Xenopus tropicalis: one gene and its partners. The protein of the gene in region 6 purifies or fractionates together with the protein of the main gene of each other region. This does not show direct contact. Links are inferred from orthologs where the notes say so. Each region holds a gene or a part of one and is shown on either strand. Other genes may lie near its edges.

The links.
Region 1: the proteins of ccnf (region 6) and rbx1 purify together in Homo sapiens (affinity purification with western blotting, with the first as the bait; 4 studies listed by BioGRID). This does not show direct contact. The link is inferred for Xenopus tropicalis from reciprocal best matches to the Homo sapiens genes CCNF and RBX1.
Region 2: the proteins of ccnf (region 6) and sqstm1 purify together in Homo sapiens (affinity purification with western blotting; 3 studies listed by BioGRID). This does not show direct contact. The link is inferred for Xenopus tropicalis from reciprocal best matches to the Homo sapiens genes CCNF and SQSTM1.
Region 3: the proteins of ccnf (region 6) and ccp110 purify together in Homo sapiens (affinity purification with western blotting; 7 studies listed by BioGRID and IntAct, with this or other methods). This does not show direct contact. The link is inferred for Xenopus tropicalis from reciprocal best matches to the Homo sapiens genes CCNF and CCP110.
Region 4: the proteins of ccnf (region 6) and rrm2.1 purify together in Homo sapiens (affinity purification with western blotting; 5 studies listed by BioGRID and IntAct, with this or other methods). This does not show direct contact. The link is inferred for Xenopus tropicalis from reciprocal best matches to the Homo sapiens genes CCNF and RRM2.
Region 5: the proteins of ccnf (region 6) and tardbp purify together in Homo sapiens (affinity purification with western blotting; 3 studies listed by BioGRID, with this or other methods). This does not show direct contact. The link is inferred for Xenopus tropicalis from reciprocal best matches to the Homo sapiens genes CCNF and TARDBP.
Region 7: the proteins of ccnf (region 6) and cdc6 purify together in Homo sapiens (affinity purification with western blotting; 4 studies listed by BioGRID and IntAct, with this or other methods). This does not show direct contact. The link is inferred for Xenopus tropicalis from reciprocal best matches to the Homo sapiens genes CCNF and CDC6.

The regions. Positions count from the first base shown.
Region 1 is NC_030680.2:115,969,901-115,973,873, reverse strand, and holds the start of rbx1 (E3 ubiquitin-protein ligase RBX1), read left to right. Parts: upstream 1-1,173; 5' UTR 1,174-1,182; coding exon 1,183-1,296; intron 1,297-3,592; coding exon 3,593-3,671; intron 3,672-3,835; coding exon 3,836-3,906; intron 3,907-3,973. UniProt on the Homo sapiens protein: E3 ubiquitin ligase component of multiple cullin-RING-based E3 ubiquitin-protein ligase (CRLs) complexes which mediate the ubiquitination and subsequent proteasomal degradation of target proteins, including proteins involved in cell cycle progression, signal transduction, transcription and transcription-coupled nucleotide excision repair.
Region 2 is NC_030679.2:22,202,837-22,207,040, forward strand, and holds the start of sqstm1 (sequestosome-1), read right to left. Parts: upstream 2,804-4,204; 5' UTR 2,468-2,803; coding exon 2,278-2,467; intron 926-2,277; exon of another isoform or gene 488-925; intron 1-487. UniProt on the Homo sapiens protein: Molecular adapter required for selective macroautophagy (aggrephagy) by acting as a bridge between polyubiquitinated proteins and autophagosomes.
Region 3 is NC_030685.2:31,810,209-31,814,410, forward strand, and holds the start of ccp110 (centriolar coiled-coil protein of 110 kDa), read left to right. Parts: upstream 1-1,392; 5' UTR 1,393-1,622; intron 1,623-3,420; 5' UTR 3,421-3,487; intron 3,488-4,202. Other genes in the region: gde1 (glycerophosphodiester phosphodiesterase 1), read right to left, coding at 911-1,183.
Region 4 is NC_030681.2:138,189,992-138,194,270, reverse strand, and holds the start of rrm2.1 (ribonucleotide reductase M2, gene 1), read right to left. Parts: upstream 2,805-4,279; 5' UTR 2,703-2,804; coding exon 2,616-2,702; intron 2,546-2,615; coding exon 2,495-2,545; intron 1-2,494. UniProt on the Homo sapiens protein: Provides the precursors necessary for DNA synthesis. Catalyzes the biosynthesis of deoxyribonucleotides from the corresponding ribonucleotides. Inhibits Wnt signaling.
Region 5 is NC_030683.2:64,773,766-64,777,275, forward strand, and holds part of tardbp (TAR DNA-binding protein 43), read left to right. Parts: intron 1-2,394; coding exon 2,395-2,910; 3' UTR 2,911-3,510. UniProt on the Homo sapiens protein: RNA-binding protein that is involved in various steps of RNA biogenesis and processing.
Region 6 is NC_030685.2:22,533,367-22,536,876, forward strand, and holds part of ccnf (cyclin-F), read left to right. Parts: intron 1-375; coding exon 376-482; intron 483-612; coding exon 613-680; intron 681-1,023; coding exon 1,024-1,238; intron 1,239-1,490; coding exon 1,491-1,544; intron 1,545-1,661; coding exon 1,662-1,766; intron 1,767-1,988; coding exon 1,989-2,066; intron 2,067-2,541; coding exon 2,542-2,693; intron 2,694-2,983; coding exon 2,984-3,148; intron 3,149-3,258; coding exon 3,259-3,382; intron 3,383-3,510. UniProt on the Homo sapiens protein: Substrate recognition component of a SCF (SKP1-CUL1-F-box protein) E3 ubiquitin-protein ligase complex which mediates the ubiquitination and subsequent proteasomal degradation of target proteins.
Region 7 is NC_030686.2:8,868,912-8,873,058, forward strand, and holds the start of cdc6 (cell division control protein 6 homolog), read right to left. Parts: upstream 2,802-4,147; 5' UTR 2,728-2,801; intron 1-2,727. UniProt on the Homo sapiens protein: Involved in the initiation of DNA replication. Also participates in checkpoint controls that ensure DNA replication is completed before mitosis is initiated.

The DNA of each region.
Region 1 (3,973 bases), on a different chromosome or scaffold from region 6:
TTTTTGTAGCTTCATTCCACATAAAATAATGTAAATGTTGATTTTGCAGGAGCTGAAATGACAGAAATGATAGATCATATAGGGGTATTTTCATTTTAGGGCCCCTACATTGCACACACTTGTGGAAACCTATACATATTTTGCCTGACGAAGGGTCCTTAGAGCTCCGAAAGCTTGCAATGTTATTTTTATATATAATACTCTTGTATTTTGTTTTTTTTATTATTATTTTTGACACTGGCTAACACAGTACTACAGTTTTAGCTTTGTGATAAATTTTGATAAAAAAACAATAATTTTAGGAAAGCATTGCAACTTCGTAGTTTGGAGTAGACAGACAGTTTTAACCTATTCTCCATTCCTCAGAATCTGTTCTTTCCAAAAATGTATAATTTTCTGGTATAAACCTTCTGAAATGTAGGTGTTAAAATCTTAAGTATGCAAGCTTTCTGGAGCAGTGCTTTGGAAATTTGGTAGGTAGTGTACCGCTGGGAATTTTTGAATCACACAAATGAGAAATCGACATAAAACTATATATATATTTGGTGCTGGCACATTCAGGAGACATGGGACTTTCCGAATCAGTTGTATTTTTGTGCATAAAATCATTTGTTTCTTTTATATGTGTTTATATTACGGAAAACGTGTTGTTGTTTTTTTGTTGTTTTTGTTTTTTTTAATCTTTTAGACATTAAGAAGCCTATATCTTGTTCCAGAATTGGAATCACACAAAAATTCTACCATATTTTGAAATCTTAGGTCGCCCCCCCCCCCAAAAAAAAAAGATATATTGTTTTCCTGTGTAAACTAAAAGTCCCCCCAAGGAAAGGCCCTAAGAGTGCAAAATGTTTCAAAACAGTCTGGCAATACAAGTTCTGCTTTGACCAAATCAGCTGGCAGTGAAAGGGTTAACTGTTCAATACAGAAATATTTTGCTTAACCAGAACACCACAGCCCCTTAGTGAATACGAACAGATGAAAAGGCTAGCTTGCTTAAATCTGTACATTTTACTTCCCTCAAGGAGCATGTGCCTACGCCTTTAAATAAATTCTCTCCAAGCCTGCAGACCGCAGCTCTTCCTCGTTACCGTCTTCCGCCCCCACACACATTACTAACACGCCCCAAACTGTGCGCCTTTAATGCTAATCACATGACCAAGGCATCAGCCCAGCTTTCGGCGCATGCGCCATATAGACCCGGAATTTCCTCTTTTCAAAATGGCAGCCGCAATGGATGTAGACACACCAAGCGGAACGAATAACAGCGCTAGTAAGAAGCGCTTTGAGGTTAAGAAGGTAAGTGTGCTTGCTTGCGTATGTTATGGATGTAGCAAATGATCAGAACAGTCTTTCTAACTAATACTTAAAGAGGGCGACAGTGCAGCAGCTGATACTATTCAGCTAGATTGCTTGCGCCCTAAAGCTTTTTAGATGTTTGATTGACGTGTTTTCCGCCGAATCAAATGTTAAACCCTAATACTTAGGGCGGTCCGTTTTGGCAAAGCGGTGATTTCTGTCGTTCCGGCGGCCCAATAGCGGATAGCTACTGATGCCACAAACGATTGGATGAATTCTAACCAATGTAAGTGCCCCTCTCAGCTGCACTGGGAGGCGGGATCATGTAGCCGCACTTCACGAGTTTGCGGGGGAGCTGTAGGGCCACAGACATTGCGTGGTCTCATTTGCTCATTTGTTTCCCTGGAGGAGGCAGGGAATGTGTCTTGGGCTTTTAGCGGTGTGAGAGCAAGAAACGGGGCTATTTGATAAAAAATAAATTGTTGAACAAGTAAATGTAGGGGTCAAATGACTTGCATTTAGCACATGTAGGGGTATATTAATCATGCTGTGTAAAAAGTGGAGTGAAGCATTATCAGTGGTGTTGAGCTGGGTAACCAATCGGCTATTAGATTTCAACAGTTCTGATTGGCTGCTATAAACTTCATCGGTGATGTTTTACTCCACTTTTTGCACAGCATGATATATATACCCCTACGGTACAGGAGCTGTGAATATGCATTCTCACAGCGTGATGATTTTGCCACCATAGTTCTGCAGGGCATGGTGTGTTTAGCTTACAGTATCAAACATGGTGTATGTGCCATTGTTGGTGTATGTTGCCATTACAGCCTCCTCTCCCTCAGACCCTGCATACCCTATACTTAAAGGAAAACTATACTCCGAAACAATGTAGGTCTCTAAATATGTATTGCATATACAAGCTCATATGTAAAACCCTACTTCATCCAAAAAAGCCATTCTCATATAAATATACTTTTTTTTGTAGTATGTGCCACTGGGTAAGCCTAAATGAAGGCTGGGGCCAACTGGGCTTTTTCCCCAGTGTCCCGTAGCCCAGTCCAACCCTGATTAACAGTGGCTTTCTTTCTTCCACTACTGGGCAGTATTTGTTGTATTTATAGCCTTTCCAATTTCAGCCACAGAGTTGTCATGGGTCTCTTAGTGACCTTCTACATTATTCTTCTCCTTGCACATTCACTCTCTTTTCGTGGATGGCCTGTTCCTGGCAGATTTACAGCTATGCCATACCCTTTCAGTTTCTAAATGATAGATGTAACTGTATGTCCAGTTATAGTTAGAGACTTGGAAATTTTCCTATTTCCATCCCCCAACTTGTGCTTTAAATCACCTTTTTATGGAGTTGCTTAGAGGGTCCTTCTCCCTTCATGTTATAGATCAGTTATCCCCAACCAGTGGCTCATGAGCAACATGTTGCTCACCACCCCCTTTAATGTTGCTTCCAGTGGCCTCAAAACAGGTGTTTATTTCTTAATGTCTAATTTGAAGGCAAGTTTTGTAGGCATAAAGACCATCTGTACTGCCAAATAGTCTCCTTTATTCTGCCAGTTTGCATTGGGCTACCAAATAACCAATCACAGCCCTTATTTGTCACTTTTATCATGATTGTGTTGCTCCCCAACTTTTTATATATTTTTTTTTTTTTAATTTGAGTGAATTAGTGAAAAGTATATGTTTATGGTATAGACACTTTATTTGTTAGAAATAAGCTCCTGATGGAGCTGTTGTATACAGTCTGACCTGAGATTACTGTTAAAAAAAAAAAAAAAAAAAAAAGGGGGGGGGGGGTCATCAAGACGACACTCTTATCCAGCTCTGTGTGAGGCTACATGTTGAGGTAACAGGGTCTGCCAAGCATCTAGGCCAGAGGCAGGCCAAGCCGACCGGGCACCTAGGCAACCTGGTCGGCCACCTTACCCCTGCACCCTCCCATGCATAATACCCACGTGCAGTGAAGGAAATGACAAGTTAGTGCAGACTAGGGGGAGGCAGGAGAGGTACCTGTCTGGCACCCATTATTCCGGCCCTGATCTAGGCACATTGATATTGGTGCCTTCATTGAGCCACATTTGGGCCACGTTTAACCATTCCAGTAAGACTCCAAAGCCATTGTCTGGTAAAACTGGCTAAACTAGTAAATCGAACATACCGGTAATTCTATACACATGAACCAACTTAGAGCAGATTGTGCTAAGTGATTAGATGAGTTTTAAAACATATTTAATTTATTGCCAAAATTTACATCACTTTAACTTTTTTTTCTTTTTTGTTGCAGTGGAATGCAGTTGCCCTTTGGGCCTGGGACATTGTAGTGGACAATTGTGCCATCTGCAGGAACCACATCATGGACTTGTGTAAGTTTCCTTAATTGAACTTTAGCCGATAAAACAACTGTTGTCTGTAAGCAACATTTTAGTTAGTCCCAGTGCTTATATATACATTTATCTTTGAAAAAGTGAATAACCCCTTTGAATGGTACAAATGCAGAAAATAAAAATAATCCTCTTGTATCTTCTAGGCATAGAGTGCCAAGCAAACCAAGCTTCTGCTACTTCTGAGGAATGCACTGTGGCATGGGGTGTGTGTAATGTAAGTAGCTTTGATGGATATTCAGTGACTTAGTATCAAATATATAATATAGTTTTTTTGGAGAAAC
Region 2 (4,204 bases), on a different chromosome or scaffold from region 6:
ACACTGGGAATCATTTATTAACACTGGGCAAATGGACAGTAACCCATGACAATTACATTTTTGCTTTCACTGTTCACTGTTTTGGCTGGCTAAATCAGTGATTGGTTGCTATGGACTACTGCCCACGTGCAAATTTGCCAAGTGTTGATAAATGAGCCCTATTATGTTTTGACCTTATTTAGTAACCCAAGGCTACCTGCTACTATCTAGCAGGGAAGATCTGTACCGCTGAAGATGCCTCCCATAGCTCCCCATCTTCTCTGCTGCTAATTCACAGCACATACTCTGGGGGGCTACTGTCATTTGCCTAAGCATAAGGACCCATTCACAATATACATTCTATACATTTAATATAAAAGTTACAATGAAAGTCTAATTAGTAATTAAATGAACTTCACATTAATTACACACAAGTTTAGAAACCAGTGCAACCTGAAACATCAGCTTCTGTAAAAGTTAAACTTAATTTTCTGTTTGATAATTTCAGGCAAAGCTTAATTTCTCAAAAACAGCCAAGAGCACACAGAGCAAGTGCAGTGTCACTGACACTAAACAGATGGCTTAACAAGGTCTAAGATGGTGAGCTGATCTGGAGTCCTGCATAATTCCTGTTGCCTCTGCTGTTACAACAAGTGCAGTATATAAAATACAGCATTTCAAGAGAAATTCGTTTTAGGCTAGGCGTCCTCCTTCAATGTAATACACAGCCTGGCTGAATTCTGATAAGATTGAAAAATGAAGTCTGATCTGCTGAGACTATACATTGGTGACCGTGGGAAGCTACAACCTTTGCACAGTTGCACACTATACTTCCTGTACAGGAGATTGCCTCAATGCTGTGTGAGTTGTTTCTATTATAGGTGCCATGGATCTACCACGTATTTCATTGACTAAACACTGGACAGCTATTATGGTATCTGCTAAGGTAAGGTTTAGATATCGCTCAGATTCTGCTTAATAACTCTTTAGTGCCCTCATCCTAATAACCTGCTTCCCCCAGTTTCAGTCTCTAGCTATTATTAATCAGGTCCTGGCTCGGGAAAGATGTTAACCAGATCCGGCAAGAGTGGAAATTTCCACATGTATAAAAGCCAAGAAACATTGTTATCAGCATAGTTCTGACCTACTGACAATCATCCAAACGTATCACAAAAAATACAATACAAGCCGACAAGTACAAATATATAACACAGACCTTAGACCGACAACCTTTGCCACTCCCCTTGCATAACCAGACAGCACCAACAAAACAAACACACAATGGCCCTTCCCCTTTAGCAGTGATAAAGCACGCAGCCATGTTTTTTTATAAGAAAAATACTTAAGTTGTGTACATAACCCATGCCAGTGCTTGTGTGAGCTGCAACACCCAAATCCTGGGCACACCACGGATCACTAGACAAAATTACTAACTCATCTATTAAGAAATGGTTAGAAAACTGTCTGTTATTCATTATTTAAACATTATATTCATATTGTTTTTCTAAATCAGTTTGTAGTACTAGTTATAGTACTAATATCTGCTAACAACCATCTTATATTTATTAAATGAGTCACCCATGTAGATCAATACACGAGGGTTAGGGCTACCAACAATCCAGTGAGGGCAATGTGGCTTGTGGGCTAGGTGCCTTATGCACAGATTGCCCTACCCACATTCACTGAACTTTCCTTATTATTTGGCCTCAGCGCTGTTTATTCTGCCCTAGGCAATAATATTATGCTGTGATTCACCCTGAAGCCATAACCACACTGAGATATAAACAGAATTAGTAGCTGTAGCACAAGTTTGTGTTGCTACCATCGACTGTACCCGAAGATCGTTCCTATTGTGGGTAGGCTGTGTGTGCGCTGAACAATTATTTGCACATACAAGTGTATAATGTACAGAATTTACCCCAGACACAGGCAACCTGTTGCAACTCACTACATTCTTCCAGCGTATGAGCTACAGAGGGGTGTAGTTCTGCAACACAGAGACTGGAGACTGGTTCTTACTATTATTACACATGATAAACTGGCAGTCATTCAGCATCCCCTGCTGGACATGGTATCTTCCAAGGAGATTATTTGCCCATTAGGGAGGTGGGTTTATCCTCATGCCAAGCCTCATATTACCTTGAAATTGGAAGCAAAGTGCAGGGGATATATATGCCAATATCTGCTGGCAAATATGAATGAAGGTCAGGTTTGAGGTCGGGTAATTATTAATTATATACCCATGTAACAATTATTTGATATAAGCAATTATTAGTATATAATGACTGAGCTTCCCACCTTTGTAGAACATCTGGAAGGCTCCCCCTTTGAGGCCCTGGAACACGCCAGTCACCTTGTTAGCTAGCAGCTCGCAGCTGGACACGGACGCCTTCTCTTTGCCGGCAGCCGGCAGCTCCAGCTGGAAGCGGCGGATCTCCCTGTGACTCTCATCCTTGCCCAGCAGATAGGCTTTCACGGTGACTGGCATGGTGGCACCTTGGGCACCGTATAGGCGGCGATGTCGCAGTTAGGAACAAAACAATGAGCAGAACGACTGCGCAGAAGTTTGTTATTCTGTGACTGACGGCTGAGAGCAGTCCCAGCTTTATTTATACAGCCAGCCTGGAAATCCCCACTCCTCCTTAGTCCACCCTCTACGTCCAATGTATTCCTATTAGTATCAGCCCTTTGGAACTTGCCAGACTCTTCCACTCTGCTAGCCACGCCCACCAACCTTGTGATGTCACCGTGACCTGGCAAAACAAAGGGGGAACTCCACACAGTGAGGGGACTAAAGACTACCAACTGCAGGGCAATATTACATAATAAATGACAGATTCACAGTCCTCTGAACAGTATAAAGTACAGTTTAACTGAAAAGTGTACAATAACCTCTTTTTGTGAATTTAAGGTTTTTATAAGTATAATTAAATATAATTTCTTACTCTATTCTCTGTTTATTCCACTTTTGGGATTGTAACTTCCTACACATAGGGGCACATTTACTAACCCAGGAACGCTCCAAAAGCGTTTTTTTTTCGTTATGATCAGTATTTTTGCGACTTTTTCTGCGCCATCACGACTTTTTCGTATATTCCATGACTTTTCGTCACATTACCGGAATGTTCTTTTGTGTGCAAGTGCACTGATCGAGCCCATGCAGATATGCACTGAAAGATCAAAGTCAGAAAGGTTTTCCCGGCGTTTACGATCGGTCAGTACGAAAAATTTGCAATGATGGCGACGAAAAAGTTCAGAAACTTTCGTTTCCAATCCGAATTTTTGCCGTTCGGGATTCAAATTCATGGAATAGTAAATGTGCCCCATAGTGTCTGTATCTTAATTATGGCGCCAGATGTTGAAAGACTGCAGCTCCCAGAGTGCTTTAAAACTAGACTATATGGTGAAGCGTGCAGGGAGTTATAGTCCAGCAATATATAGGAGCCCAAGCTTTGGAAACATCTAGAACAGTTGCAGATTGGGGTTGCCACCTTTGCTTTCCTATATTTTATTTTATCATTCTCCATTACAGATAACATCAAGCATAAGTTTTGCTGGACAGATGGCAACTCTATTCACAGATGGGTCACTTGCCCAGTTTGAGTTATGGTGAATTTTAACTCAAACATGACAGGAGAATGTAGGGCCAATGCCTTTAATGGTGAATATAATACAGTTGCAGCTTATGTTCCTAAGCAGACTGAGGCCTACTGTGTCGGACTGGCCCACCAGGATACCAGGAAAACTCCCGGTGGGCCGAGGGGTCAGTGGGCCCTTATTCTCCTGACCATTTGGCATACTTCAAGGTCATTTGCTATTTCTGAATGGGAAGAAAGAGGAGAAATAAATGGAAGGATAGATGTAAATAAAAGAGACTAGGAGAATAAAGAGGTTGGGTGAGGAAAGGAGGAAATATAGTTTGGAGAGTGGGCCTAGGGTCCAAGGTTTTCTGGTGGGCCCCTGGGGTCCCAGTCCAACACTGCCTACTGTAGCTGGAACAGCTGCTTACACATGAAATTGGATGGCAGGGCTAACATGGGCATTCAGAAGTTGAATCTGAACACTTTTAGTGAAGATCCAATGGGATTTGTGACCTGCTCAGGTACCTGAGCCTCAGAAGCGCATACAAGCACTTTGCCTTGGGAGCAGTGTCTGATCAGGGCAGCAAAGCATTTATTTAGGAACAACAGTGCGTTTGGCAGCATGGCAGCAGTATGCCCCGCAG
Region 3 (4,202 bases), about 9.3 Mb from region 6:
CAAAATATGCCTTGTGTGATGCTGTATATACAGAAACTAAAGCTCTAAGGGCTCTGGCACACGGGGAGATTAGTCGCCCGCGACAAATCTCCCGTGTCTCGGGCGACTAATCTCCCCCAAATGCCATCCCACCAGCGAAAATGTAAATCGCCGGTGGGATGGCACACGCGGCGGCGCGATTTCAGTGAGATGGTGCAAGTTTCCTCTCGAGGCAACTTGCGCGATCTCACTGAAATCGTGCCGCCGCGTGTGCCATCCCACCGGCGACTTACACTTTAGCCGGAGGGATGGCAGGTGATGGCAACTCTGGGAGATTAGTCGACTGAGACACGGGAGATTTGTCACGGGCGACTAATCTCCCCGTGTGCCAGAGCCCTAAGGGTGAAGACACATGGAGCTACTAGTAGCAGCTACTTGTCCTGGCTACAAAAATAGACAATGCTGATCATTTATTGATAATTGTCTCTACCCGTGTTTTAGCAGAGGCAATTCTCAGTATTGTCTTTGGCAGGGTGTTTTCTGGCGTTTAGTAGCTGTGAAAAAGTAGCTGCTACTAAGTAGCTAAGTGTGTCTTCACCCTAAATGAGATTTCATTTCAGCTTTGCTGTCGGATGAATAAAAGGTGAAGGTAAACCCAAGATATAATGAAATTCTAAGCAGCTTTTACAATGGTTTTAAAGTTATTTGCAAATATTAATGCAGCTAGTAACCCTGGCAGACGAGTGTTCATGGCTTCCCTGTGTATGATTAGAAGTCAGAACCGGCAATGCATATAATATCAGGGGACAAACGATGTACAGCTTTCAATGACAATGGCTGGAAATCATTATTGAATCTATAGTGGAAAGCGCTAAGAATGACATTTATTATTAGGTTCGCATGTGGGGCTATAGAGAAAAGAGATACTGACGGTTCTGATGGCGGCCAGGGTGTTCTCAGGAGCATCGTGCCCCCCGCCTCTATGGGCTACTGTAGCCGCCCTCCCTTTAGGTTTCAGCACCTGCAGGGCCCGGGATTGGGGCACCGGCTCGAACCTACAGAAAACCAGCAGCAGATAGATACCGCCCGTAACCAGGGACGTGAGAAGCGGGTTCCGAGTCAGCAGCAGCAGCACAAGGAAAATGCTACTGAATGAAGCCAAGAGGCCATCACCCCACAGCATGGCGGGGGCAGATAAAAGCATACGGAGCCCAGAGACACGAAACCGGTCGCTCCAAACATACACCGGGTGTATTGACGTTGCAAGAACTACAACTCCCAGCGTCCCTCTGCCTGTGCCGCCTGCTTGGGGACGATGGAAGATGTAGTTCCGAATACCCAGCGCCGAATCCCACCAATAGCCACGCCCAGCAACCCGGAACTGTCTTGTTAGAATTCCGCCCTTAAACGCAAGTCCCTCCCACAAGTAAAAATGGGGCGTGTATCTGCCGGCCGTTGCCAGGCGCTGTAGTTGCCGCCGGAGACCTCAAAATATGGCGGGGTGGAGGCGGGTTCTGAACTGTCAGCAGCCCGGAGCCATCCCTGCATTGTTCTGCCACTGTTAACCAGCAGAAAGTGTGGAGTTGTTGGGCAGGGCGTCTGGGAGACACAATGTTTCTGTGAATGGCTTTTCATCTGTGTGGGTAAGAAATGGCTTTTTATCTTGTGTAACTGGCCATGTAGTTTATACATGGGTATCAAGTGAGGATGCTGGGACTTGCTACCATAATAATAAGGACGAATTTGGCGTGCCTTGTACTTTTCCCAGTACAGCGGGGGAATTTACTTTGAAAGTACAGAATTTAGATCTGCTGTGGGGCTGTAACACGTCCCTTTGGGTAAAGGAGCTCACCCTTTTATCATAGCTGTAATGTTCTTTCATGGCAATTGACTGGCTGTTGGGTATCTATCTATCTATCTATATCTATCATCTATCTATATATGTGTGTGTATTGGCATAGTGATGTCATCAGTTGTAATCAGTGCTTAGTAATGTAACTCATATGTATTATATGTATAATAAACAAAAAAATTCCCCCCACCTCAGATTTCCATGACTGTGCCTCTCGGTGGTCATGGGACTTCTTGGTCACTAATATTCATACATGTTACAATTGTGGGTGCATATGTATATGTAGGTTGACCTAAACCTGCGGGTCGGGCAGGCTTAGGTTGAGATTTGAGTGACCATAGTGGTTCTGGGATGGGTGCATGTCAGACTGGGGAAGAACATTCCTTCTTCCAAGGATTATCTTTCTTGGGACTAGAGGCGCACACAGAAGTAGTGTAAGGGCTGTGGCACATGGGGGCAACTAATCCCCCCGAAATGCCATCCCACCGGCTATAATGTTAATCGCCGGTTAAGGGTTGAGTATGGGCCCTAATTTGGCAACATTTCACATGTTAAGGTCGGGTGCGGGTTTAGTTTTTCCTGACCTGCACATCACTAATAAACAATAGCAATGGTGGTTTTCAGTCAAAGCATGTGCAAACTGCAGCATCATCTGTTGTTCCACTACATCTCTCAGTATGCCACAGTCATAGGCATAGGAAACCTTTAGTGTAACCACTACAACTGAACTAAAGCACCAGCATTCTATTCTAGATAATTTGATGAAGAGGGTAATATATTCCATAACAGTAGGTATGATGCTTCTACTGCCTAAACAAAACATCATATTTTGATGAAACCTGCAGTTAATATTTGCATTCCATATAAAGGCACGAGGCCGAAGGCAAAGTTGGGGGTACTTGTATTAAATAATACTTGTGTATTATTTATTATAATACACAATTTTCAGTAAGTCGTGTAACAGAAATCACTAAGCGATTATAACTGATGACATCACTAAGCACTGTTTGTAAGGATATAATTTACAGGACATGCATGCATATTATAAATATATGTGTGTATAAATAAATAAATAATAATATAGGGGAGTACTGCTACACCTATTGATTCAGGGGAATCTGTTGCTACTAGTACCTCCTGGCCAGGTGGTACAAGCAGACTTGTGCGTAATTGCTTTTGATTTGCAATGAAATGCAAGTACAGGTGCGTTAATTTTGATGAATTAGAAGCAAAGAGCTCATTACCCCTTTGCGACCGCAGTGAAATTCTGGGAAAAACAATATGGTGTGTGCACACTTGCAGAAATAAATGAGCCATATTATCTATTCTTCTTTTCTTTGATTTTGATCTTTCAAAATCTTTTTGTTTCTGTTTGTAAAAAAAATTAGCAATATTCCAAAACCTCTGTGTGCCCACCTTTACCCTTTATCCATTTATATTTTACTCCCTTAAATCCTTTTTTTTAATGGAAATATTGATGATTTATTGTTTCAAGCCTCATGATAAACCTTGTTTCTGGTTTGATGTGGAACTTTATCATTTAAATGTACCCTTTTGTAGTAACCCTGTTATTTTTCTTTCATTTGCAGAATAAGAAGAATATCTTTTTCTCCTGTACAAGCACATCATAACTTTCCATCTTCCAAAGAAACCCAGGTGTGTATGCCTAATGATTTGCTTATTCTACATTATTTCCTGTAGCTGCATCTTTTTATAACTATCTGTTCTGGGCTACTGGTCCATGTGCATTTTTCTGTTTAGTCTGGACCCAACTGAACCTGCATTATTTTAATTTTTTTGTATTTCTGCTGATATATTCTATAGTGCTTTACAGAAATCATTCATCAGTCCCATTATGTCATGCCCCAGTTACGCTAACCGTGTAAGGACCCTTTCATGTAAATACTAGGGATGCACCAATTCCAGGATTCTGTTTAGGATTTGGCTGAATCCCAGGACTGTTTCCAGGATTCAGCTGAACCAAATCCAACCCCCAAAAATCATATAATGGCTCTGGGCAACACAATGCAATTTTTTATTTATATTAAATGTGAATATTCAACTTACAGTTCAGAATTGGTGTAGTATTCAGTAATCTTTTTTGAAAGATTGAGTATTCAGCCAAAATAAATAAAAATTATGGATTCAGTGAATCTCTATTACATACAGTGAAGTCATTTTAATTAAGAACCTGCTGCCTATTTATGTTTTGGCATGCAGAAGGTAACTGGAGTTCCCAGAGTAAACTCTCACAAATAGGGAACATTCAATCCATGCAGATAGTACAAGTCTGGGGCCTATTATCAAGAATGCTCGGGACGTGGGGTTTTTCAAACAAGGGGTCTTTCCGTAATTTAGACATTAATTAAAC
Region 4 (4,279 bases), on a different chromosome or scaffold from region 6:
ATAAAATATTCCAGCCTTCCTCCACCAATTTATAAAAATATAAATAACATAATAGTTTTTATACTTAATTGCTCTGCATCTAATGAGGTTTGTCTCAGGCTTCTAAGCAAGGAGACTTATACAGCTTATCTTTCCAAAACAAATCAATGAAACTAATCACGTGTAAAATGAAAGTGCTTCAATCTTACTGTTCCGCATGGTTACAAAATAAAATACCAGGTACAGGTATAGGATCCCTTATGCGGAAAGTTCCGAATTACGGAAAGGCCATCTCCCATAGACTACATTATAAGCAAATAATTCTAATTTTTAAAAATGATTTCCTTTTTCCCTGTAATAATAAAACAGTACCTTGTACTTGATCCCAACTAAGATATAATTACCCCTTATTGGGGGCAGAACAGTACTATTGGTATTTTTTTTAATGTTTACATGATTTTTACCAGACTTAAGTTATGAAGATCCAAATTACAGAAAGATCCCTTATCCAGAAAACCCCAGGTCTTGAGCATTCTGGATAATAGGTCCCGTACCTGTATTGGATTTATTATCCGGAAAGCTTGGGACCTAGGATAAGGGATCTTTCCATAATTTGGATCACCATACCTGAAGACTGCTAAACATTGCCACCAATATGGATTCATGCAACCCTGGATTTCAGTTTGAGGCGCTCAGAAGCCACTCCATTCTCCACGCCCACCCACCCACGCTGGATAGTGGGCCTGTGCATCCTTCTCAGTCAGATACAGAGGACTGGGGAAAGAACAAGCTGAAGTTTTTTTTGCATATCCCATCCCCAGTGTTTCTTATCTGAAAACATTTCACTTGCGGCTGGGCAGCATGCCACCCCTAAATTTATGCCACCCTAGGCCCAGTGTGATAAAACTACTTTTTATGTACTCTGAGAAAAAATGTTATCTCTTCTGCTATAATGTAACTGTGGGGCAAATGATACAGCCTGTGTTTATGTCTGTTTAATGTTATGTGTAGCCAGCCTGAATTTCTGTTCTCCCAAGGTTAATTGACCCCTGCTGTGAGAACAAATAAAGCCAGGACCCTCTGTATTCCAATACACAAAGTTGGCCCCAAGACCCCCCTGTAAGGGCTGTGCTCTTTCTGGATCCTGCATACAGACTAAACTGGGCATGCTCACTAAATGGCACCTCATTGGCCCAGTGGTATCAACTGTAATTGGCCCCTCTGGAAGCTGCCTTTGGGTTGGCAGAAGAATCAAATACTGTTCTGCATTTACAACAGGGGCAGCTCCCTTTCTGGCTTACAAAGGAGGCTGCCAACAATTCCAATTTGTTAGTCTTTATTATACACATGGAAGATCACAGAGACTGCCCAGCTGTAACCATCACAGCTGTACCCGCAAGTACCCAGTGCCCAGCAGTAGCAGTGCTCAGCCCTAGCACCCCCCGCAGGCAGAACCACTAAGTGCAGGCTGGCTACCATAGGAACTCTGAGCAAACTGGCAATGCTGCAGCTACAATAAAGAGCCTCATTTTCTAAAGGTATTGTGTGTGTCCACATCCTTCACGCGACTCCGTGCCGGCACACCCGGCCTTGCCACAAATCTGGGCCTGTTAAGTTACCATCAAGTACAAGCTACTCTCTTATTACAGTGAAAGAGAATAATTTTAAAAATGTTTAATTATTTGCTTATAATGCTTTCTGGATAAGGGATCTGATAACTATATTTTCAAATAAAGCCCGTAGGCAGAAAGTAATCCAACAAGCTCTATACACTAAACATGTTGATAACAGTAACCCCTTTGTCTCACGATGAAGCAACAGCACAGAGAGGAAAGCCTAAGGGCTCTGGCACACGAGGAGATTTGTCGCCGGCGATTTTTAAAAGAGCGATTTGGCGACAAGACAAGCGACAAGACGCCAATGCTAAATCAATGGAAATCGCGTCAAAACATACGAGGCTACTTCAAATCGCCTGCTGTTTCAAATCGCACACAGACCCCTTTTCTGAGCGACTTGAGTAAACATGAGGGGGGGTAACGGTTGAGTGTACCATGGGTAGCAGATCGCCTGGAGCTCAACTCGCATGAAATCTCTGCGTGGGTATTGTCGTGGCGACTTGTCACCAAAGCGCCAGGGGGAAAAAACGCAGGCGACAAATCTCCTCGTGTGCCAGAGCCCTAAAGGATGAGGGAACTGGGATGGGGGCTTTTGCAGTAAGGGTACAGCTTAACCCACTGTACTGCTGAGCTCTTCTGCTTAGGATTTATTTTCCAATATGGCCATTGATGTAGCTGTATCATAGTGGATTCAGTAAGAGCATGGCCCTTGAGGGCTCATATGTAATGTGGGGGAGACATGATGAATAAGGTATCCAATAGCCACAATTCAGCATGAAAGCACATTGCCTTGTGGGGGGCCATGTTCACCCCATTATAGTTATGAGCGAATGGAGGAAGTGCACTGGAACATCCCGCTACAAACACGTGGTTTATAAACTCAGCAATATCGATCTCACCCATTGTTTGTGTGTTCCCCGGGAGGTCCTGCCCGAGTTGAAGCCGGGGGGCTGTAAGAAACAGAAAGAGACTAAGAGGCTGCTGTACCCGGCCATGTTTGCCCTCACTAGGAATACCCACCGTGTTCTCTTTATCCAGCAGCGCCATCCTCTTCATGGGGGACACATTATCCTTAAGAGGACTGAGCGCATTGCGCGGAGACAGCATGTTGTTTTCCCTTCAACCTATAGTACCTCAACCGCTAGAGAACCGGCCGGACTGACCGACAGTGAGGGGCAGCTGCAATTTATAGGTAGTCGAGGGAGAACCAATGAGGAGCCGAACAACCGCCGGGTGAGACACTCTGATTGGTAAAGATAATATCACCTGATAACTCAGGCTTGTGTTCCCGCTCTGCGCTCTAGAACCCGGGTTCCTGCCTGTTCCTATGAATGCACCTGTTTTTTTTTTTTTATTTTACTTTGAGGTTGGCCTGATTTGACTGGCATATCCATTGCTTACTATTGGCCCCAGACATTATTGCATATACTCTTACTTGTTGGTCATTTCATGTTGCCTCTGATAACATGGCCCCAAGCAGGGCAGCCATCAGAAATCATGGGGCCCCTCACTCAAAAAAATTTTCTGGGCCCCCCTCCCACCAGTACAAAGGGCTCACAGACATGAGACATTGGTAGCCAGCAGGGCCCCCCTAATGCATTTGTAGCCAGCAGGGCCCCCCTAATGCATTGGTAGCCAGCAGGGCCCCCCTAGTATATTGGTAGCCAGCAGTGCCCCCCCCTAGTACATTGGTAGCCAGCTGTGCCCCCCCCAGTACATTTGTAGCCAGCTGTGCCCCCCCTAGTACATTGGTAGCCAGCTGTGCCCCCCCCTAGTACATTGGTAGCCAGCTGTGCCCCCCCCTAGTATATTGGTAGCCAGCAGTGCCCCCCCCTAGTACATTGGTAGCCAGCTGTGCCCCCCCAGTACATTTGTAGCCAGCTGTGCCCCCCCTAGTACATTGGTAGCCAGCTGTGCCCCCCCCTAGTACATTGGTAGCCAGCTGTGCCCCCCCCAGTATATTTGTAGCCAGCTGTGCCCTCCCCAGTACATTTGTAGCCAGCAGTGCCCCCCCTAGTACATTGGTAGCCAGCTGTGCCCCCCCTAGTACATTTGTAGCCAGCTGTGCCCTCCCCAGTACATTTGTAGCCAGCAGTGCCCCCCCTAGTACATTTGTAGCCAGCAGTGCCCCCCCTAGTACATTGGTAGCCAGCTGTGCCCCCCCCTAGTACATTTGTAGCCAGCTGTGCCCTCCCCAGTACATTTGTAGCCAGCAGTGCCCCCCCTAGTACATTTGTAGCCAGCAGTGCCCCCCCTAGTACATTGGTAGCCAGCTGTGCCCCCCCAGTACATTTGTAGCCAGCAGGGCCCCCCCTAGTATATTGGTAGCCAGCAGTGCCCCCCCCTAGTACATTGGTAGCCAGCTGTGCCCCCCCCAGTACATTTGTAGCCAGCTGTGCCCCCCCCCCCCCCCAGTACATTTGTAGCCAGCTTTGCCCCCCCAGTACATTGGTAGCCAGTGTCTTGTTCAGCTCCTCCGGCGTCTTACGCGGCGACATCCTTCCTGGATGACACCTCTGCACTTCTGAGTGCCGAAAGAAGACAGGCCCTTTTATAAGGTTGCGCCCCGTGCATGTACGCACGGGGCGCGACCAATAGGATCACCCGCTGACCACCAATGACAGGGCCCAGAACGGATTAAAGAGCTACTAAGAAAACTTTAGCATGGCGGGCCCCCTTTTAAA
Region 5 (3,510 bases), on a different chromosome or scaffold from region 6:
CAAACATACCATGTGCATGTAGTGAAATGCACTCCGTATTGGGCTACCTTTGGGGAAACTGTTTAGGAATAATAAAGGTATTCTGTGGCCGTCACTGTAATACTGTTTCACTGTGTCTGGGTCCATTCAAGCAGATTATGATCAGGAGTGCTGGTAAATACATCTGGCGAATGCTTACAGCATGTCTTTACAATGATCAGCTACACAGAAATGGTTTCAACACCTTATCCTTTCATTCAGGTAACAGTCAGATAAGGTATCACTGTACTAAATATTTTGGCTAGCATTGTATAGCCAAACAGGCCAGTTATCTTCCATGAGTATCTAGCTATTGCCATGACTGTTTCTAAAACTCTCTATGAAGTCAAGCAACAGATATCTTCCCATTACTGTCAGCTGGAAGTGCAGTCCATATTGCACTCAAGTGCACTGGACTGGATGGCAACTTTTTTGGCTCAGTGCTGTGTGCCGTAAGCCAAGACTCATTTTTTAAAAAAGACCTCTCTGCCTTGCTGCCCTGATTGCAAGCTAATTACATGTAAATAAGTTTAGCCATTTTTGCTGGTTGAACGAAGAGTCACTGATTTTGTCACATTATCTGGTAAGACTGCGATAATATAAAGCTTGTATGTTCACAGGATGACTGATTAAATTGGGCTGCATGGGTTATATGCAAGAGTTTTTCATCAGTCGCTTTCTGGTGCTGCTATTTAAGCTCATTGCTCAAAAACAGTACCTGGTTGACCAGGTTTCCCCCCTTGCATTTTGTATAGGTTCATTGGTCAGCTTGGTGCAGGATGTGTGTGACTGTTTTAAGCTAGTGACACATGCCCAGATTTGGTCAGGCAGTTTGACCTATTTTGACTATACTTGTATGTATGGTTAGTCAGGGGCAGTTTACATCCTGTTGTCCTGATGGATCAAGAATTATCGGCCCTGACAATTTGTCAACTGAAAGAAAGTGCGCTACGTCTCCGCTTTTAACTGCTGTTGCTCCAAATATTTGTCCCTCAAATACTGAATCATACAAAGGTGGTGATAAATGTATATGGCCCCTTATACAGTGTCAACCCAGAGGAGTCGCTCAGGGTACTGTACAGGATGGGCCACATTAGGTGTATATATTAAAGTAGCAGTTCAAAATAACTGGCCGCTGTAAAGATTGTTTGAACTAAATTTTCTTTATCCTTTTCTTGACTTTGCCTGTTATTTTTATTTAGATATTAGACTGAATGTTAGTAGACAGTCGCCTACAACAAACTGAGATGTGCTGGTTCACTGACTTTAATTGTGACCTCATGGTCCCCCCCCCCCACCTACCCAGTCTGAAACAGTTGTTTGAGCAGATGCTGTTCTCTAGTTTGGTATAAGTGAATGCATGGCACTGTACACATACAGGTCCTTTGTTTGCAACCTTGCAACCGTTTCAGTGCAAACTATCCAGGATGTCTACATACTCTATAGTATGCTGTGTAAAAAAAAAAAAAAAAGCGAGAAAATTCACCACACGTCGCCAGGCTTCGCTGTGTAGAAAAAAAAAGGCGTAAAATCGACAATTTCTTTACATGTTTTTTCTTCCAGAACTTGTAAAATAACGGCATAAAATCTGGTGTTCAGACAGCGATCTTCTCCATTTATTTTACAGATTTTTACGTTGTTTTTTCAGTAAATTCGTTTTACACAGCTTAATAAATATGCCCCTTAGTCCAGAAAATCAGATGTCCCATGCTGCTTGATTTTCTGTGCCTGCCCCCTGCTGAGTGTTGAAAAAACTTGCATGTTGTGCATACACCTGCCTTCCAGTTAAAGGAGAAGGAAAATCATTTTTGCATTTTACTGCCAATAGATTAGCCACGTTAGTGCAAGCTACAATGCTATGTTTATTCTGCAGAAAGCTTTACCATACCTAAGTAATCAGCCCTTAAAGCTTCCTCAGTTTAAGATAGCAGCTGCCATTTTAGCTTGGTCTCAGTAGCTTCAAGCTCTAGGTGCTGGTAACTTAGTTCAGATTTGACATTCTGATGGGAGGGGGAGTGAATTGTTATAATAGCAGGAGAGAGCATGTTCAGACTCCAGCCCGTGAAATTAAGGATTTTTATGAGGAAGTCTGATACCTAAGTACATGTGTACACAAAAGAAAATAAATCCTGTTTCTTTTGAAAGAGGACTCTGCATCTTTTCTGTGTGCGCTTATGGCTGTATTTACATAGACCTTTCTGATAAAGCTTACTTAATTTTTACCTTTCATTCTCCTTTAAACTTCATGTCTATGATGCCTGCAAAACAAGAGTGCTGTGTTGACTTAGACTCAAATTTGCACCTTAATGTAAATCCAGATGTGGAACAACTTATGGTTTTTGTGCTGGGTACTCATTCAAATGTTATTTCTTTTAGGTTGCACAATCTCTCTGTGGTGAAGACCTGATCATTAAAGGAGTCAGCGTTCATGTTTCTACTGCAGAGCCCAAGCACAATAACAATAGGCAATTAGAGAGAGGTGGCAGATTTCCTGGCCCAAGTTTTGGGAACCAGGGTTACCCCAACAGCCGGCCAAGTAGTGGTGCACTTGGCAACAACCAGGGTGGTAATATGGGTGGTGGTGGAGGGATGAATTTTGGGGCCTTTAGCATAAATCCAGCAATGATGGCAGCTGCCCAGGCAGCATTGCAAAGCAGCTGGGGTATGATGGGTATGCTCGCTAGTCAACAGAATCAATCTGGCCCCCAGGGAAGTAATCAGGGTCAAGGAAATCAACAAAGGGACCAGCCACAAAGTTTTGGTTCAAATAATTCTTATGGTTCCAACTCTGGTGCAATAGGTTGGGGGTCCCCTAATGCTGGATCTGGCAGTGGATTTAATGGCGGCTTTAGTTCAAGCATGGAATCAAAATCTTCAGGATGGGGAATGTAGTCTTATTAGAAGACACTGGGTTTCTGGTGGGTAATTCATAATTTTTATGGTAAGTATATTGCAGAATGTTTCCAAAAGGTTTTTGAGTATGTTCAGTAGTAAACTTAAGGGAACTGTTTTCTAAGTTTGTACTTCAGTTTAACAATCTGGTCTCAATACTACTTTCTGACTGAACATGCATGTTATAGACCACTGGTTAACAACCTGTAGTAATTCCAGCCTTTTTTCTTTGCCTCAGTCTGTATATTAATGTAAATGGAATCATGCATTTTTGTTTAGGACAGTCTTCCTACCTTAATTGTGTTCACTGCTTCAACTGATCTCTGCTCCTTACCATGCCTTTCTGGAACCTGCTACTGAATGCAGTTGATTCCCTGCCCTGGAGCACTTTTGCCTACAAGCTTTTTCCTAGCCTGAAGATTCATGCTGCGTGATGAGTCTTAAGACGGTGGGTGATCCATTTTTATCCAGTTTGTTTCATGGAATTCGTACCAGCAATTTGAACGCACGGCTGTGAGGTGGAACCAGAAGGCTGTTTGAACTGTGGGATTGGTGTTTCCAAAGAATGAGAGTCTTTGGTATGAGCGAGAACAAGAGCGT
Region 6 (3,510 bases):
TTCATGGCTACAGAAAATCCCCTGCCATAGACAATACTGAGAATTGCCTCCTAAAATGTAGACAATTATCAGTAAATGATCAGCATTGTCTATTTTAGTAGCTGCTACTAGTAGCTCCATGTGTCTTCACCCTTAACTTGGTGACTCTATTAATCTGTCCTTTGGAAAATTGACAAAGTGCTACATGCATTAGGTGTACCTGCTGCCTTACGCCAGAGTATGTGTTAATTGGTTGCTCGCTGCTTACCCTGAGGGTCTGTACCCATGAAAGCAGAGACTAAAACTAAATCCATAAATATAGTTTTAATATTATTTTAAACATGCACGCTGCTTCATTCTTTCCATTGTTCCCTCAATCTCTTCCTTGTGTTCCAGGTTCATCCACATTTGAGGTCCCTGGTGGATTCTCACAGTAGTGTTTGGGCTCGTGCCTCTTTCCAAGATGTCTGGCCTTCTCCTGAAAACTTGAATCTCTTTGAAAGGTAAGATAATGGGTGACAGATTGCTGGTACCTACAGTCTGTCCCTCTGAGTGGTCTGTAAATAAATCCACAAACCCTGGTCACATGATGGCGATTGATATCTGATGGCAGTTTCTCTTTATTCTCTCTAGGGCAGCTGAATGCGGTAACTTCGAAGCGTGTGTGAAGCTAGGGATCGCTTACTTGTACAATGAAGGCTGTAAGTGTTTGATTTTAATATCATGTTAGATAATGTTGCAGCCACGATCATTCCTGAAATACAGTTTTTGGCTTCCTTTTCAAGCTACAGTTCTCTAGTTGTGATTATGGGATCATTGGGGGTTGTAGTTCAGCAGCTGAGCCTCAGGTTGAAGATCTCCTGGAAATGTTGTATTTAGATGTGCTTCTGTTACAATGATCCTATTCACATAATTTGCCTTGAAGTGCTATCCCTTTAGGAGGCACAAGCAGTTTATAGGATAGTGTTTGAGGCTAACACATGATCTCTGCCCTACCAGAAGTGATAATTCGTGTTACTTACCCTTCTCATGCTTTTTCCTTAGTGTCCTTGTCAGACGATGGGAGGGCAGAAGTGAACGGACTGAAGGCCTCTCGTTTCTTCAGCCTGACTGAACGCCTGAATTCTGGTGCAGATCCCTTTGTGTGGCTTTTCATCCGCCCCCCTTGGTCCTCGTCTGGAAGCTGCTGTAAGGCGGTGGTGTTTGACAGCCTGAAAGAGGAGTGTGGGACTGTTACAAGTGAAGAAGGGGCAACGGGGGTGAGTGGTTTATTGAAAGAGCAATCTCAGATTGTGCCCTATTCAGAAAATTCCCTTCCCTGTCATGGGAAACCTTTATATTTCACAATATGAACAATTAGGTTTGATGCTGAACCACATATCTATCTTCATCTTTCTCTCTCTCTCTCTCCCTCTCTGTCTCCATAATATGTATAACGTGGCTATCTTTTCTCTCTCTCTCTATCCCTGCTTTTGCACTGTAAGTAACAAATTCTATGTTTTTGGTTCTAGGCTCTCAAAGGATCAATTCAGTATTGTCTGGCAAAAGTTCTGAGCCTGTTTGAGGTAAGGCGCCATCTTGTTTCTCTTTGAGGCACTGAGGTCTAATAAATTGGTAATTTGCTCTGTTTATGTAACTGTTCATTGAATAAATGTGAGCCCTGTGATCCTTGTCTCTTGCAGGATGATGACAAGAAGAGAGAAGCTCTGGGAATGCTTGAATCGTCTGCCTCCCATGGCTGTTTGCATAGCTCTTACTTACTCTGGGAAACCAAACAGAAAACTGCTGTGAGTGCCCTTATAACTTTCTTCCCTCTATTCTATTGTACAATGTTTTGATTAACAGTCCCCTAGATGTTAGTGATATGGACAATGCCACAAACATGGCAAGCAACTTGAAATATCCTAAATAATACCTTTTATTGTTGACCATACGGTCAATCCTCATATTTGTGCACCTCTTCTTGCTATAACTCACTCCCCTTTCTTTTTTTTTCTGTTTTCCTTTAGTTATCAGACCCTGGCAGATACCTACAGAGCTTTAGGCAGCTACGAGATTATGCGGCAAGGGGTTGCTGGGATGCACAGGTAAGCATCATTTATGGGATGAATTGTGGCCTGCTTTAGTGGTAACCAAACCTAGCAACATTGAACTTTCCCTACAGCAGCATAGGAGTCTTTTATTTGGTGACCCACCAGTTTAGCTTTGAGAGCACCTTTTATGCATGAGCTGTTAGGGAACCCAGACTGTGTTACTGAAAGCTCATTTTATACATAGTTAGATAAGGGGTTACTGTACTTTTATTGCAAAGGTCCCTAAACTGTGAGTCTGTCTTGTCCTGTTCCCCTCCCTAATAGCATAGGTGCCAGGCCTGAAGGCTTGATATGTTGGGACTTGTAGTGAATAGTTATGTGCTGTCCTACATTCGCCTGAAAGCCCAGCCTTGTATTTAAGCTAGCTTTATGTATTTTGTTGTACTAAGTCATACTGTTAGCCATGTAAATGTGTAATGTAGGCTTTATTGGTCATAATAGACTGCAATTTCCTCCCCCTCCCCTCTAGATTTCCTTGGCGAAGGCTTGTGGTCACAAGAACCAGCTGAGCCAGGAGCAGCGATCAGCTAGTGAATTGGTAAACCAAGTATTCCAGTCATCTCTGCCTATCAACAAAACCAGCATCTTTACCACTCAGAAGGGCATGAATGACACTATGCGGTAAGTTGGGTGTCCCTGTTTAGAGCTGCAATGTTAGCAAATTGGCTGTTGCCTGTCAGGTGGCAATGGAAGATAATTTCAATAAAATAATCAGTTTTATGTGCATATCCATCTGAATAAAAACTGCTATACAGCGTGATTCCCAGTGCAAATGGAATTTTTCAATCACTATATGTAGGTGCCTGTCTTTTTAGAAATAGCTGCTGATTGTCTAATACAATTGTATGATTGTTCTTCTTTATATTATTGTCACTTATTTACACTTGTTTATCTTGATGTCTCTTCCTTAGGTACATCTTAATAGACTGGCTGGTAGAGGTTGCCACTATGAAAGATTTCTCCAGTCTTTGTTTACACATGACAGTGGGTCTGGTGGACCGGTACTTAAAACTGCGCAGCGTCCCACGGGCCAAGCTCCAACTGGTGGGAATTGCCTGCATGGTCATATGCACACGGTACGTGAGGTGTCAATCCATTGTAGGGCGGAAATATGAGTTGCCTTCATGTAAGAAAGACATTGGGTTATGATTGCAGGTAGCTAATTATTTTTCTTTACTCTCGGTAGCTTTATTAGCAAAGAGATCCTGACAATCCGAGAAGCAGTGTGGCTGACTGATAACACCTATAAGTATGAGGATCTGGTTCGGATGATGGGAGAAATCATATCTGCACTGGAGGGCAAAATAAGGGTAAGTGGTTGTACAAAGGCTTCTCTTTCTTGACCCCTCTGAGGTGGAGTATAAAGGATTAATCCTACTGTAAAAAGCAAAACACTAGCTACTCTCCTCACTGATGTCCGTAGAAAGCAGTGCATGGA
Region 7 (4,147 bases), on a different chromosome or scaffold from region 6:
GGCGGGGTTAACTCCTTCAAGCCTTGGATAGTTCAGCTCTGCACATCATAAATATTACTTCCAGTAATATTTCAATGACAGTTTAGGCATAAGGCAACAGACCTAAAAGCCAGAGCTGCAGCTTCTCCTGTAAACGGCATTACCTGCTGATGACCACTGGGGGGCACCTGTACTATGGCAGAAGGGTTGCAAAAAGCCTCATTACACAATATGGCAGCTCTTGGCTACATGAGGCCTTTAAAGGGGAAGTGCAGCAATCAAAAACAAGGGAATAACCTGCATGTTTGCTAAATGCAGCTCTTGGGATATAGTCATAGAATCATTACCACCAACACTATTCATTTATACATTGCTTCCCCTTTAATCTAGGGAAGGCTGCACTCAAACTGCTGAAATGATGCAAAATGGCTGCGTTCCCGTCTGCCTAATAAAACATATGCTTTGTTTTCTCTGGATATGATTTTGTAATTAATACATTTTCCTTTTTACATTTGCTTTTTCCCCGAGTATGCAGATTTTGCTTTTGTAATAAAACATATGTAGGGATCCATAGGGTTAACTAGTCCCTATGGCTTTAAACCCTGCAGCTTCCTGGTTTTGTGCTGTTACTGGGCAAAGACCCATGTATCAGTTTTGAGTTCATATGTGTGATTATTGGGTAACAGGGAGACCACTCCCTTGGGACACAGATATAGTGTTTAGCAGGGGGGGGGGGTCTGTCTCTTTGGCTGCCTGTGCTCACAGGGGAAGCAGCACTGTGCTGGAGGCAAAGGAACTAGGCCCCAGTAAGCCATGTGCCCCAGAGTGTGTCAGCCACTCTGGTGAAGTCGGGGACAGGGACCCTGTGAATGAGGGGCAGTTAAATAGCAGTTTTGTGGAGCACTTTGTAGGAAAGTGAGATAGTGAGGGAAGAGAGCACGAGCAGTTTGGCTCAGAGGAAAGTAGCTGTGGGAGTCCCTTCCATACAGGCATTGTTGCCTAAGTGTAGGGCCACGGTTTAGCCATAGGAGGCAGGTAGACTGAACCCTGATCCAAAGTTGCCGTGGGGCCTGAGGAGAGTGGTATCCAAGCTGGCTGTTCCACATAGTGAGCACCTGAACCGGTGGCACCAGGGTCGGACTGGGGGGTGCAGGTGCCCTAGCCGTGTCCCCTAACCCCCCCGCCTGACGTCCCCCCCAAGCGCGTATAAATTGAACACGTCAGAGGAGGAACAGTCAGTAGGGGGAGCGCCGGCAAAGGTCGGACTGGGCTGCAGCGGGATTTTTCCTGGTGTCCCAGTCCGACCCTGGGTGGCACTGATCCTGCCCGGGCTCGTGGGGAGTTGGGAGGAGCGGGTGTGCCCCCTCTCTGTGCTGTCCTCAGAGAACTGCTATGCTAACTGAGGTGTGAGTATATTGCATAACCCTGCTTGTCCCTGACAATAAACCAGTTCTACTGTTCAACTGCAAGAACCTTCTGGCGCCCATTCGTTACTCTGCCCAGCTACAGTGGGTTGTAGTTGCCCAGCTACAGTGGGTTGTAGTTGCCCAGCTACAGTGGGTTGTAGTTGCCCAGCTACAGTGGGTTGTAGTTGCCCAGCTACAGTGGGTTGTAGTTGCCCACCTACAGTGGGTTGTAGTTGCCCACCTACAGTGGGTTGTAGTTGCCCACCTACAGTGGGTTGTAGTTGCCCACCTACAGTGGGTTGTAGTTGCCCACCTACAGTGGGTTGTAGTTGCCCCACCTACAGTGGGTTGTAGTTGCCCACCTACAGTGGGTTGTAGTTGCCCAGCTACAGTGGGTTGTAGTTGCCCAGCTACAGTGGGTTGTAGTTGCCCAGCTACAGTGGGTTGTAGTTGCCCAGCTACAGTGGGTTGTAGTTGCCCAGCTACAGTGGGTTGTAGTTGCCCAGCTACAGTGGGTTGTAGTTGCCCAGCTACAGTGGGTTGTAGTTGCCCAGCTACAGTGGGTTGTAGTTGCCCAGCTACAGTGGGTTGTAGTTGCCCAGCTACAGTGGGTTGTAGTTGCCCAGCTACAGTGGGTTGTAGTTGCCCAGCTACAGTGGGTTGTAGTTGCCCAGCTACAGTGGGTTGTAGTTGCCCAGCTACAGTGGGTTGTAGTTGCCCAGCTACAGTGGGTTGTAGTTGCACTACACCATAGCTCCGTTTGGTTACTCCCACATAGGGAAGGCCCATCCTGAAGGACTGAGCCGTGTCCCCCCCATGCTCTAGGCCTATCTAGCCGTGCTGTTGGCTTGGTTACAGCCAAGAAAGGGTTACACATATGCAGCTGCCAATACTCTTACAACGTGCAAAATGGAGTCGTCCATGCAAAGACCCAGTCATGTGACTGAGGGTAGAACAAATATTTGCGTATAGTTAAAGCCATTTACAATACAGATAAGCAATAAACCCCTCAGCATTAGCGCTCCCTGCACCCCCGGGCCTGACTGTAAGCGGAAGCCAGCATTACTCCCACAATGCATTGCAAGCTCCCATGTATCTGCGGCTTTGCTACTTTACCAAAATTGTTATAAATGATTAAAAGCACGGAATTGCTGCATTATCAAAATTGTTACGAATGATTACAAGTGCGGAATTGATACCTTTACATTTTCTTTCACGGATGAGAGAAAACTATAATACGTGACATAAAAAGGGCGACACTATAGGCGGAGGTGCACATAAAGTAGCCCCTAGACCGCGGCGCCGCTACAATAGAACATAAGGTGCCTCAATAAGGACTCACCGGCTTCTCAGCGATAGTGTGACTGAATTCAGTTGGAAGTAACAACTCGCAGCTCTCACCGCTTCCTCTCCGAGCCCCCCGCACACTGAAGCCCAGCGCGCCAAACCTGAGGTAGAATAACCAGCGCGCCTTCAGAATCTGGCGCCAAGCTCTCCCATTGGCCGGCGCTCCAAACCCCGTCCCAAGCTGATTGGCTCCTTCCGAGCACATTGTGCTGAAGCGCTAGGCGTTAACCATGCCAGCCAATCACAAGCCGAGAGACCGCCGGCGTCATGAAAAGCTTGTTTTGCATTTTGATGCGGTGGGGGAGGTTATAGCGCCAAATCCCGGCTGTGTAAATATTTGTGTTGCAACATAGAAGTGTTCGCAGAAACATATAAAGATCTTTCCTGTTTAGAAATAAAAACTTAGCCTGATAATTTATCAGTGAAACAATGACATTATGTGGAATGAATATATATTTACTATAGTTGTGTAACACCTATTTGACCTATTTAGGGCTCTGGCACACGGGGACTCGCGAGTCTTTTTCGGCGATTTGCGCGAAATCGCGCCGCCGCGTCTGCCATCCCGCCGGCAACTTACATGTTTGCCGATGGGATGGCAGGGGTAGGCAACTCGGGGAGATTAGTCGCCCGCGAACAGGGAGTTTTGCCGCGGGTGACTAATCTCCCCGTGTGCCAGAGCCCTTAAGGACAAATCCAGGCTAGTAGTATAATGGAGAGCATGGGTTACATGCGACACTTAATACAAGGGAGTGAGCCTCCGCTATATGGGAGAATTAAGATGGAGCGAGGGTGTAGTTGAACTACCACTAGCTGAGGTGTGTGGTGCAAATAGAGAATGATGGACGCCAGAGGATTCTTATGATCAAATAATAACTGGTTTATTGTACAAAGCAACTGGGTAGTGTGGCAGGGTATATACTCACAGACACAGCAGTATAGGAATTGGTCACAATGGAATATAGCAGATGTGACACTCAAGGAACAGAATACCCCACTTGGAGGATGCACAGAGGATTAGCTGATACCTGAGATATAGACCTTTCAGAAGGGAGTGTTCCGGCCGACTGTGGTCCAGGGGAGAGCTCCTAACACTGGTACCTGGCGTCTAATAAAACCAGTCCCTAAAGAACAACAGAGCCAGGGTAGGCTAAACCCTTTTACAACTCCTGGTTGGGGCTATTAACTGCCCTTGCTAAATAAGCTAACTGTTCTCACCACTTTTAGAGGGTGCTATTAATAAAACTGATTGTGCTGGCTTTACCTCATTCACGGGGCCCTGTCCCCGACTTATCACTAGGGTATGAGGTCCCCTAGGGCACAAATTGGCTTCTGGGCCTATGTCCGGTCCAGGCTCAATTGGAGCTCTATCCAGAACACAGCATGCAGCCAAAAGAGGAAGACACTTCCTTGTG